Oryzias latipes: one gene and its partners. The protein of the gene in region 1 binds, or shares a complex with, the protein of each later gene. Links are inferred from orthologs where the notes say so. Each region holds a gene or a part of one and is shown in the gene's direction. Other genes may lie near its edges.

Region 1 (3,699 bases):
GTAGAGTTGATGTCATCCACTTAGAGGTAAGTGGAGATGATTCGGTTTCTCATGCCCTCTGTGTTATTCGCACAACAAATCTGTTTGGGGGACAGGGAAATGGCTTCAGTCATAACAACAGGGCGACACTTCTGAGAGATCAAAGGGGATCAGGGTGCATCAAAGGAGTTCACCTTGCCAACACTGACATTTAGTAAAGTGGGGATAAAAGCCCTACTTCAAAAGATATGCAGCAATTCAAACGAGCAAAGTGATGGCGTGTTTGTCAGGTCACAGAGCATCTCGCTGTTTACGCGCACCCTGACTCCCACATGTCCAGCAGATGACGTCCAAGTGCCAAGATCTGATCAGAAGGTCAGCACTCCATCGCTTGCAAACCCATTGAAGTTACTAGTAATGAAATTACTTTCCAGTAGGGCCATGTAAAGTGGGGATTCAATAATTTTTTGACCCCGATTTCCTTCTTGTTGTGCGCAATTCTTGGAGATTTGGAGCCCCTGAGGGCCAAAAGCGAACCCAGATCAGAGTCTCTCCTTTAATCTCAAAAGTGCCAGCCAGCCCTCAAAAGGCTTCCCCGCGGAAGGCCATTAATTCGGTAAACTTTTCACACCCCTTAATGGTCTTTCGTATCCTTTGCGCCACCGGTGTAATCAAACGCTGTTGGGGGATAATTGTCACCTTTGCAAACAGCGGGATCAAATGAAGTAGTTAATCGACCCAAGTAACCTCAGTCACTCATCCTTAGCGAGAAGCTGGAGGAGGAGGATGGATGGATGTCAAATACACTGAAAGATGACAAACGAGGGCTGCTGCAAGACAGGAAGACCCCCCCCCCCTCACACACACACACACAAAAAAGGGGCTCTGTCCAAAAATCCTGCATAAATACAATGTTTCTAAATACTTTTTATGTTAAAAGCATTTAAGAACTTAACCAAATTTAAGAAAATGCGCAAAAAATAAGCCCTCATCTGTTTCACAAGTCAATAATGATATATGACTTAAATAAATAAAACTTTATAGACATGTAAACAGACTGAGCATGACTATTAACGTTTTTCTACATCGAGCTGGGCTTAAATAACAAGGCTTCATGTCAGTCATGGCTTTTCAGACAGACTTTGCGGGTCATTATCATTCCACAAACAATGTGAGACGCAGTTCTGCGCAGGGATGGCCATTTCCGTACAGTGGGGCTCTGTCAGAAATTCCACCCCTCCGCCTTTGTTGTGCACAGCGAGGGGCGGGAAGACAAACAGGTCCGCGTGTATAAAGAGATCATCCCAGGACTGTGAGTCAGGAGACTTCCAAGCATCATCCAAACACACCTTGGAAACTTTGGGGATTGAGGAATCCAAGCCGTTTGGACATTGTCTCATATTCCTTTAACGCATCTCAAACGGATTTCCTTAACTTTTTTCTTTTCTTTTTTTTTTTTGTTAAATTCTAACTGAGACTGGACTTAACAAGAGAATAATCATGCAGGTGTTGTTAGTCCACCGCTACTTGGCTGTGTGCGTCACGCTGTTTGGATACTTTGGAGACGTTTATCCAGGTGTTGTGCCGAAAAACTCCAACTTGATCAAACACCCGCCCGGCGCGTCAGCGGGCAAAGGCACCGACTCTGTCAGCCCAAGTCCGCGCACGTCACCCACCGGTGTCGCGGGGCAAAAGTTGCCCCCAGACACCCTGCAGGTAATAAACTCCCTGGTGCGTAAAAGTCAACTTTTTGCTTCATAACAGTTGGGTACATTTATTTGATTGCTTTATATGTGATTTACTTTGTTTCCTTCATCATGTTGTAGCAGTCAGCTGTTTGCACGGATGATGAAGACTGTGGAGGGGAGGAATTCTGCAACGATGCCCGTGGTGTCTGTCTGCCCTGCCGCAGGAGCCGGAAGCGCTGCGTAAGGGACTCCATGTGTTGTGCAGGGAATCGCTGTAGCAACGGTGTGTAAAGAAACTGCTCATGTGATTGAATTTTTATTTCAATGAAAAAAAAAAACTATTGTGTTTATTGATATTTGCTCTTTATAGGTTTTTGTCAACCACAAGACATTCATGACACAGAGTCATCCGTCACATCTGGCGGGCATAAACACAACAACACCCTGGAACATCAAGCCAAGAGGCCTCTTAATTCCAATGGCTACCAACCAATTAATGTCAAAGGTGAGATGATGGTAAATAAAACCAACAATATGTTTCAATAATATTTGTTTCATGTAATAAATAACCTTATCAATCTACAGGGCAAGAGGGTGACACATGCCTGAGATCGGCAGACTGCTCGGAGGGTCTGTGCTGTGCCAGACACTTCTGGTCTCGCATCTGTAAGCCTGTGCTGACAGAGGGCCAGGTGTGCACGCGCCACCGCAGGAAAGGCACCCACGGTTTGGAGCTGTTCCAGCGCTGTGACTGCGGCGAGGGCTTGGCCTGCAGACCGGAGAAAGCCGAGCGTGATCACGGTGTCAGCAGGACTGCAGCCCGGAACCTACACACCTGTCAGAGTCGCTGACACCACCGCACGCAGTCACAGCCAGAAGACAGAATCACACACCCACGCGCAGACACACATCAATAAATCAGTGACAGATGCTGACAAATACTCCTCAGAGAAGATGCTGACACACACATGCAGAGACACACAACACCTAAGACATTCTTTCCTGCCAGAGTTGCTGACACAAATGCATCACCAAGATGGAGAGACATGAATCCTAGAAAAGTGATACACCCAGAGGGATGCAACAGTGTGAGACGAACTCATCCAGTTTTCCATCAGCAGATATAGATTCAGAAGTTAGGAAGTAGCATTTCACAGGTATTTGTGGAGATGGATTCATGTTGTCAGTAATGGCAGAGTAGTTTTTGTTTCTCTTTTTATGGAACTTGAGGCCACAGCAATCACAGTAAATTACTGTAGTGTAAATATTATCCTGCAGGTGGCACTTATTTGCTCTACTGAATTATGTCAACACCAGTATTATAGAGACATGGTGATGCATGTTTTGTAAATAAACTGTATAGTATATAAATTGTTTTATAAGAGAAATAATGACAAATGTGAATATTTGTTTTATTAAATGCGTTGTGATAACCTTATGCTGTTCAATTGTTATTTTGTCAACACCTTAGAAAGAAAACGCAAAAATAGTTTCAATATTTTATTTTGTAGACACTGAAATTAGTCAAAATTGACAGAAAACACACTCAGACACACACCAGGATGAATTATGCTAAGAAAACTAATCTAGAACTCATTATTCTAACTTAAAATCTTCCCATCGTGCAGCTGAACTGCAGGACAGGACATGGTTGTACCAAATGATAACTGTAATAAAGAAAGTTATCCTGATGGGTGTTTGCTACCTGAACCTTTGGTGCTGCCTGGGGTTAATTATAGGTTTATGTGTAGCAGTTAGCCAGCTATCCATGGTAAACCCTCTAATTACTTCATCTTGCCTAATCTGCCCTGGGATTCGGGAAATAAGGTTAAAAGCAGCATATTTTTGTGTGCGACACAACCCACTAAAGGTACAAAAAGGGAGCTTCAGCCTCCATTGTACAGCAAGCTCTATTTCCTGACACGTTGATCAATGCAGGAGCTTTAAATATGTAGGCTATGAATCCACTCAAACACACCGTGGCCTCTGTAATTAGACCTTCAGATTAAAAGATGGTGAGGAAGTGACTGTA
Region 2 (3,621 bases), on another chromosome or scaffold:
CCCGCTGACCGGCGTTCTTCCAGCCCACACTGACCGTCAGCTGGACGGAGGTGACCCAGACCGCCGGTTCTGAGAAAAGTCTGCTGGACGTCGGTGCTTTGGGGCATTTTTTAGAGCAAGAGTTTGTTTTGGGTTCATCTGAATGAATCTGTGAAGCCTCACGAAACAGAAACAGGATTTGCTAAAACTTGCGTACATCATGTGGTGAAGAAAAAAGTTATTTTTATTTGACCAAAATAAATCTGATTAAGATCTAAAAACTTATTTTTCAGGAGAAACAAGATACAGATTACAGAAGTAAAAATGTCCAAAGGCAGCAAAAATTCCTGTTACAAAGAATTCAAAGGAAGCTGTGATTTATTTATTACAAATATCAAATTTTATCTTGAATAAAATGTAAAATAAGAAAAATCATCTTAATTTCACTATTTTTCTCTTCTGCTTTAGTTTAGTAAAAAAAATACTGGAAATGTGTCGTCTTTCTTCACATTCAGAGTCGAAAATGTTTTGGGAAGTGGGCGGGGTTTAGTCTGAGGACTTATTTTATGGGCGTGGTTTCTTAACATTGATGGAGATGTTTTTTAAATGACAAAGTAGGTCCCATCCTCACAGACTTCCTGACATTTGGATTGGTCGTGATAAATTAATGTGAGACACAAAAAGGTGAAAAGAGATCCAACAAAAAACAGAAAAAAATACAAAATCTAAATGGCTGTTTTTAATTTACTTTTTTTTTTAATATTACATTGATCAAGAAGTCCCTTGGCTGTAATAACATTTCAAATCTGACTTTTTTACACAGAAGTTGGTGACAAAGTGCTGCCCTTTGGAACCAGCCTCTAGTGGTTATATCAAGAAGTGCAACATTCATTATTCCATTAAAATCTGCGAATAGAAGATGAAAATAAGTCGTTTTTCTTTTTTTTATGATTGAAATTGTGGATTGCTTTTGTTTCAAACAACAAAGTAGTTATTTATCTGTAAGTATTTTATTTATACGTTTTTATGAGTATTTAGTATCACTTAGGTTAAAATATTTAGTTTTGCGCTTCCCTAACAGTAAATGTTTATTTAGAAGTTTTTAAAAAGATAAAAATTGATTGAATAACATCTCTTTTCTCAGAAATTGGTCCAATAACCTTCATTTTTATGTTTTTTTTAAACCACATTTTTAAAACTACTTTTAAACTACTTGTGCTGTTGTGAGTGTGGAGCTGCACAGCATAAAGCCGTTATTGACTCATCTGCAGAGGGGTCTGCTCCCAGCTAAGTGCTGCATTCATGCACCGCGTGTTTTTCTTCATTTCCCCCCTCTGGCTTGTAAAACCAGATTCCATCAACAGCTTTGAAGTCGTCCGAATGTGTTTGTGTTTTCTCCTCTACTGTACTTGTTGCGCCTGCGACACAGATGTGTTTCCAGACGCTTTGTTCTGACTTTTCATGCAATTCTAAATGCTTTATTGGTGGTGGTGGTGGGGGGCTGTGCATGCAGGAATGTAGATGGCTCTCCACCTTCTCTCTGCTGCCATGAAGGGATGCAAACCCACCTGCTGGCCTGTCAGACGACGGCGGGAGGAAGAGATCAGGCTGCAGCCTGCAATCCTCTTTTCAGAGCAAAGTGGAGGAAGAGCTTTCCTGCCTCTAATCTGTATGCAGACTCCCACAATGCATTTCTCTGTGCTTTTCATGACACCTCTTGGAAGTGGCACCCGCCTGCCTTACTGTGTGAGTGAGGTTGCTGGTTCAAATCCAGGTGTTTGAACCCACCTCTGTGCTTTCTAATGAACAAACCCAATGTGGTTTCTTCAGCCCTGGAGGACGGTGCGTTCACAGACAGTCATTTCTAATTGGACGTTTCCCTTTTGGCAGATGGAGGCTAAAAACAGAGTTTAGTTTGGGATTTATGACCACTTGTGCTATCTTAAGCACTTTAACATTGGGAGAGGGGTCATCTAGACCCACTAGACAGTGCTCTGAACCTTTTTTCTTCAATGATTTGTGATCTTCACTGGTGTCCATGGATTACATGAAATCTTTCTACCTTTATCCACCTTTGTCATGGTAGGGAGAACACCTCAATGTAAGGGCGGGTCATCTTGACCCCATAGAATACCACAAGGGTTATAGACCTTTGTGGTGGTGAGAAACGTGAGAGTTTTGAACGCAGGCGTTTATGTAGACTTTTGCTTTGGAAGTGGTCGCTTGCGTTGCCGAGGGCAGCGTAGTGTGCGTAGCATAACGGTCGTCTGCACGCAAAGAACACGCATTTGTCACGGCCACAGCACTAATGGGATCTGCAGAAAGCTGTACGCCTGCGTCTCACCTACTCCCTTTTCTCCCTACGGGTTCACGCAGCGGACTACCACCTTGATATTTACAGGTTTAACCATTTTTGCCCCACAGACAGCCGTTATCCACCGGTTAGGGCATTTGGGTCTACAGCCTATAGCTGGGATTGTTGGGCAAATCTTTCATGTTCATGGAAAAAGGAGTGATATGGAAAAGTGGGGTTTCGTGTCCACCTGCAGTGCCTCTGTCCTTGCAGCTTTTGATGAGAACATTAGTCCAACGTCCGGATAAAGCGCCTCTGTTCGGGATAATTCATCCTAAAACTTCATAACTAACTTTTGTCTTTTCTTTTTTTGTCATCTCCTCTGGTGTCTCCAGTGCCGGGCAACCTGGGCTGCTTCAAAGACAGCGGTAACCCACCCACGCTCTCCGGCGCCAACGAGATCTCCAACAAGCTCACCATTCAGAACTGCATCAGCTTCTGCCGGAAGCAGAGATACAGGGTGAGCTTCGAACCAGAAATCTGCTCCTGACGTTTCCTGGATTCTGTCACAGCGACGGGCGTCTGGCGTTCTTTTTGACGCTCGTTTTCTGCAGCCGTTAAATTTCAGGTAGAGGCGAAAGCAGCAGATGTCAGACCATCGGGGCTGACAGCTGGAGATGAAGGGGCATCACCGCCTCTGAAGGCCTTTTTTCTCCTCTCTGACTTTGTCGCAGACGGCCAGGTGCTCGTTTTCTGTCTCCGCGGATTCGCTCCGGCCGCTCTGACTGGCCCCGACACCCCCCTCGTTGGGCAGCAGGCGGACTGGCAGCTGCCCTGCCCTCACTGCACATGCTCAGAAGTCCTGATCCCGTGTGACTCTTTAATTCAGCAGTCCAGATGACGTGTTTGCGTGACTCCACGGTGACAAAAATGCAGCACGAAACGTGGTTTTGGACGCTGTGTGGGTTCCTGTGACCAGACACAGGACGCAGAGGGGGAAGTGATGCGCTGTCGCCGTTTCCCTGAAGTCATGCAGGGCCTGAAATCGGAACAATGATGCCCCTTTCTACCAACAACAATAGCTCTTTTGAGGACAAGCGTTCAGTGTCGGTCAGGTCAAGAGAGTGTGTGAGCCTTTCTCTGCTGTTCTGCTCCGACACTAGAATCTGAGGAGGACGGGCGGCTTTTCTGCACCGTCAGTGCAGACGGAGGCGGAAGGTCACGCTGCAGTCCGACGTTTGTAATCAGGTTTCTCAAACGGCCCTTCTGTGTTGCAGCTCGCTGGGATGGAGTCCGGATACGCCTGTTTTTGTGGAAACGAGGTGGAGCTGCAGGACCACGGCGAGTCG
Region 3 (4,269 bases), on another chromosome or scaffold:
GACTCAATGGTAGGAAGGTTTTAAGGAGCGGCAGCGGCGGGATGGACTCGCCGCAGGACGCTGCTGAGGAAAGCAGGTGGGCTGCTTCCTGACCTCTGACCTATCCACATGGCGGCCGACTTCAGACGTGAAGTTTCAATTTCCCGTCTTTACGCTTAGAGAATTTTGACCACGGAGCATGTTTCACTTTTGATGAACATTTCTAATAATTTCACACTAAAAGTAAAGCGTAGATGTTTTTATGAAACAAAACAAACTTTTATTAAAGAGTCGTTTGTGCTTTGAAAGGGTTTGATGACATTAGCTGAGAAACTCCTCAGAACTGAGGAGGAGTTTTGATCCTGTGACCTTCCTGTCTCCACACTGAGCTGAAGGTCATCCGCCGCGCTCCTCTGTGGACCATCGCTCACTTTGACTCCGCCTCCCCGTCTTCACCACTGGCAGCTCTGAGACCAGGAGAACCTGTGTGTGTGTGTGTGTGGGGGGGGGGGGGGGATCTGGAAGGCCCCTCGTTCTTCGTCGGCTGATGAAGAACAAAGCTACAGCAATACTGTGACTGAAACTCAGGAAGGAGCTGACCTGCGTGGTTCTGCTGCCACACTGTGACGCACAGAGGCAGGACTTTCGGAGGCCTCCAGCAGGGGGCAGCAGCGGTCACGTGCTTTCACTGTACTCTGATTACTGGATGGTGTTTTTTGATATTGTTTTGTGAAGTAAAGCGTTTGCATACGTTTGGAAGCTCTGCGTTTTGTTGTGGGGATTAAACCGGGTTTTGACCCTGGAGCGGTTCCATCCATTATGAGAACCCTCTTCAAGGGGTCACGGGAGCGCGCACAGCTCCTGACAGGTGAAGCTGGGCTGCATCCCAGGTCCACACATTCACACCACGCAGCCTGTTTCTGGAGGAATTTACTCATGCAAGAACCAGAAAAACCTTCAAGTTAGAGTGCAAACCACTACCCCACCGTGCCGCCCGAAGCTTCCAGGTACAGGAGAAGATCTGGTTCTGGATCAGCGTAACTTTTCTGCACTCCTCCTGATTTCTGAAGGAGTCGGAGGAGTTCAGGAGGGGTGGAGGTCTGATGCTGGGTGGGCTAAACAGAGACAAACACACACGGTTCATCTTTAATGAGTGTGTGCGCGCGCGCGCGCAAACCACTGAAAGTCCCGGCGGAAGTACTGATGTGATCGAAATGCCGAAAATCAGGTGATGATGAGAAAATCTGTAATTACAGGTGAAGTAAACTAAGAAAAAAACACGAGGGGGGGGCGCTACCCTCCATGCAGTGACAAAGTAGTCCCGCTGCTGTTCTTCCCCGCATGCTTCCCCATTTGCGGGCTGCCCCCAGCTGGTTTGTGGTTGCTGCGGGCGCGCGGCGCACGTGAGCGCGGGGAACGCGAACAACAATAGAAAGCAGAGGAGGGAGGCGCAGGCGCAGGGAGCAGCTTCCTCGCGGCGGAAGGAGACGTCGGATCTCCTGCAGGACAATGTGAAGGAGCCAAGCGGAGTAGACGCAGCAGCCGGGATGGACGCGGAGGCGCCGTGAGCTTTTTCGCCGCTGCTCCCCCACCAAAACCCCGTTGAGGAAAAGGCTTTTTCCTCCTTTTTGTTCCCGAGGAGCGGCCGCGGAGATGGGAGACGAGCGCTGAGGAGACGCGGCGGCTCGGCCGAAGAACGGCAGAAATATGGGTGTCGCGCTGCGGAGTCTGTTGTTGTTGTTTAGCTTTTCTTTTGTCGTACGAGGTAAGTTGAGCCCTCCCGGACCACTACCGCCGTTTTCACCGAAATACGAGCTGTTTGTGCGGGTGGAGGTGTGCGTGTCCTACAGCGAAAACGCTTTTCCAGAGTTCGGCCCGCGGAGCTAAAGCTAGCTTCCCGCTAGCAGCCCGTTTGTGTCGGACGAAGGAACCGCAGAACAGCCGACGTGCGGGAACAGAACCGCAGCTAGAGCCGCGCGTGGGCCGCCGTTACCCGGCGTGGCCGTGGACTTTACCGGCAGCTTCCTCGTTTCCACGGTTTTACCGTGTAACGTAAAGAGCAACAATGCTACGGAGCAGCAGGTTAGCCGCGGCTAACGTAACGGGGACTACTTTTCACGTGTGATCGCGGTGGGGTTGTGCTGCGGTCACACCTGCGTGAAAGACCCACAGCAGCAAAAACAAGAAGCGCCGTGTTCTTCAGTGGAATCCCAAAGGTTCTGATGACCTCCTGCAGAACCCGGGAGAACCCACAAAACTGGCCAAAATCATTAAACTGTACCGACAGGAAGGTCGGTGTTCCGGTTTCATCCGGATCGCACCTTTGTCTGGATCTCAGTGGATCCGGGTTTGATCCGAACTCTTCAGGTTCTGGCTCAATGGACTTTTCATATCAGGCTGGTATTCCGCTCCCACACCTATCAGGTGTTCCCAGCCCGGATAGGGTTGGGTTTCTGACCCAGAACTGCAGGATCCTGGTTTCTGACCCAGAACAGCAGGATCCTGGTTTCTGACCCAGAACTGCAGGATCCTGGTTTCTGACCCAGAACTGCAGGATCCTGGTTTCTGACCCAGAACTGCAGGATCCTGTTTTCTGACCCAGAGTTGCAGGATCCTGGTTTCTGACCCAAAGGTGCAGGATCCTGGTTTCTGACCCAGAGTTGCAGGATCCTGGTTTCTGACCCAAAGGTGCAGGATCCTGGTTTCTGACCCAAGGGTGCAGGATCCTGGTTTCTGACCCAGAGTTGCAGGATCCTGGTTTCTGACCCAAAGGTGCAGGATCCTGGTTTCTGACCCAGAACTGCAGGATCCTGGTTTCTGACCCAAAGGTGCAGGATCCTGGTTTCTGACCCAAAGGTGCAGGATCCTGGTTTCTGACCCAAAGGTGCAGGATCCTGGTTTCTGACCCAGAGTTGCAGGATCCTGGTTTCTGACCCAGAGTTGCAGGATCCTGGTTTCTGACCCAGAACTGCAGGATCCTGGTTTCTGACCCAAAGGTGCAGGATCCTGGTTTCTGACCCAGAGTTGCAGGATCCTGGTTTCTGACCCAGAGTTGCAGGATCCTGGTTTCTGACCCAGAGTTGCAGGATCCTGGTTTCTGACCCAGAGTTGCAGGATCCTGGTTTCTGACCCAGAACTGCAGGATCCTGGTTTCTGACCCAAAGGTGCAGGATCCTGGTTTCTGACCCAGAGTTGCAGGATCCTGGTTTCTGACCCAAGGGTGCAGGATCATGGTTTCTGACCCAGAGTTGCAGGATCCTGGTTTCTGACCCAGAACTGCAGGATCCTGGTTTCTGACCCAAAGGTGCAGGATCCTGGTTTCTGACCCAAAGGTGCAGGATCCTGGTTTCTGACCCAGAGTTGCAGGATCCTGGTTTCTGACCCAGAACTGCAGGATCCTGGTTTCTGACCCAAAGGTGCAGGATCCTGGTTTCTGACCCAAAGGTGCAGGATCCTGGTTTCTGACCCAGAGTTGCAGGATCCTGGTTTCTGACCCAAAGTTGCAGGATCCTGGTTTCTGACCCAGAGTTGCAGGATCCTGGTTTCTGACCCAAAGGTGCAGGATCCTGGTTTCTGACCCAGAGCGTCAGGATCCTGTAGCAGCTGAGTGGTCATATTGCGGGTTTGGGCCGAAGCAGCCGTCTGCATAACCCCCCAGGAAGGGTTTCCCAGTGAGAACAGAACTCAGAACAGAACCAGGAAAACTGAAAAATTCGACAGCAGTTCCAAACGGGTTTTGGAGGAAAGTAGTTTTTACAGAACCGCTGATCCAGATGATGACAGGTGGACCTGCGTCCAAAAGACCAGAAATGTTTGCAGGTCTGATCTGAGTCATTGAATCCAGAACAGACCCGTGTTGGGGGGGGGGGTTAAATAGAAGGGGAACAGCATCATTGTGTACCTGAATTTGTTACCGCGGTAACCTGCCTCCGTCTTGGGCCGGACCCCTGACATCCGTGGGGTTCTGCTGGTCCGTTTCTGTGCAGTCGGTTCCGTGGCCGTTCCTGAGCGGTTCTTCTTGTTTGTAGTTGCAGGCGAGCCGCTGCTTCTGTACGCGAACCGGCGGGACCTCCGCCTGGTGGACACCGCCCACGAGAAGGCCAACGACACCGTGGTGGTGGGCGGGCTGGAGGACGCCGCCGCCGTGGATTACGTCTACTCTCAGGGCCTCATCTACTGGAGCGACGTCAGCGAAGAGGCCATCAAACGCACGTTCTTCAACCAGTCGGGCGCCAGTCCGGTCCAGACGGTGGTGCAGGGTCTGGCCTCCCCGGACGGCTTGGCCTGTGA

What was found.
Region 2: the proteins of dickkopf-related protein 1 (region 1) and kremen1 are in contact, whole or in part, in a crystal structure (PDB 5FWW), measured with the Homo sapiens proteins. The link is inferred for Oryzias latipes from reciprocal best matches to the Homo sapiens genes DKK1 and KREMEN1. Residues at the interface, in NP_036374.1 of Homo sapiens: Cys189, Leu190, Arg191, Ser192, Ser193, Cys201, Arg203, Trp206, Ser207, Lys208, Lys222, His223, Arg224, Arg225, Lys226, Gly227, His229, Gly230, Leu231, His261; in XP_011528731.1 of Homo sapiens: Pro67, Asn88, Asp90, Asp92, Ser94, Trp96, Gly105, Val106, Tyr107, Trp108, Tyr110, Asp127, His128, Gly129, Pro132, Thr140, Asn142, Glu164, Ser165, Tyr167, Ala168, Phe170, Asn189, Val191, Phe193, His196, Asp203, Gly204.
Region 3: the proteins of dickkopf-related protein 1 (region 1) and lrp6 are in contact, whole or in part, in a crystal structure (PDB 3S8V), measured with the Homo sapiens proteins. The link is inferred for Oryzias latipes from reciprocal best matches to the Homo sapiens genes DKK1 and LRP6. Residues at the interface, in NP_036374.1 of Homo sapiens: Glu185, His204, Phe205, Trp206, Ile209, Gln218, Val219, Thr221, Arg224, Arg225, Ser228, Gly230, Leu231, Glu232, Ile233, Phe234, Arg236, Ser258, Leu260; in NP_001401174.1 of Homo sapiens: Arg639, Glu663, Ser665, Ile681, Tyr706, Glu708, Thr724, Arg751, Trp767, Gly768, Gly769, Pro771, Val790, Gly791, Arg792, Asp811, Thr812, Asn813, Leu814, Pro833, His834, Phe836, Trp850, Ser851, Tyr875, Met877, Arg1184.

Annotation. Positions count from the first base shown.
Region 1 is NC_019873.2:20,249,650-20,253,348, forward strand, and holds dickkopf-related protein 1, read left to right. Parts: upstream 1-1,282; 5' UTR 1,283-1,479; coding exon 1,480-1,710; intron 1,711-1,805; coding exon 1,806-1,950; intron 1,951-2,037; coding exon 2,038-2,172; intron 2,173-2,252; coding exon 2,253-2,518; 3' UTR 2,519-3,105; downstream 3,106-3,699. UniProt on the Homo sapiens protein: Antagonizes canonical Wnt signaling by inhibiting LRP5/6 interaction with Wnt and by forming a ternary complex with the transmembrane protein KREMEN that promotes internalization of LRP5/6.
Region 2 is NC_019867.2:1,752,268-1,755,888, forward strand, and holds part of kremen1 (kremen protein 1), read left to right. Parts: intron 1-2,667; coding exon 2,668-2,792; intron 2,793-3,549; coding exon 3,550-3,621. UniProt on the Homo sapiens protein: Receptor for Dickkopf proteins. Cooperates with DKK1/2 to inhibit Wnt/beta-catenin signaling by promoting the endocytosis of Wnt receptors LRP5 and LRP6.
Region 3 is NC_019881.2:23,657,807-23,662,075, reverse strand, and holds the start of lrp6 (low-density lipoprotein receptor-related protein 6), read left to right. Parts: upstream 1-1,378; 5' UTR 1,379-1,686; coding exon 1,687-1,744; intron 1,745-4,007; coding exon 4,008-4,269. UniProt on the Homo sapiens protein: Component of the Wnt-Fzd-LRP5-LRP6 complex that triggers beta-catenin signaling through inducing aggregation of receptor-ligand complexes into ribosome-sized signalosomes.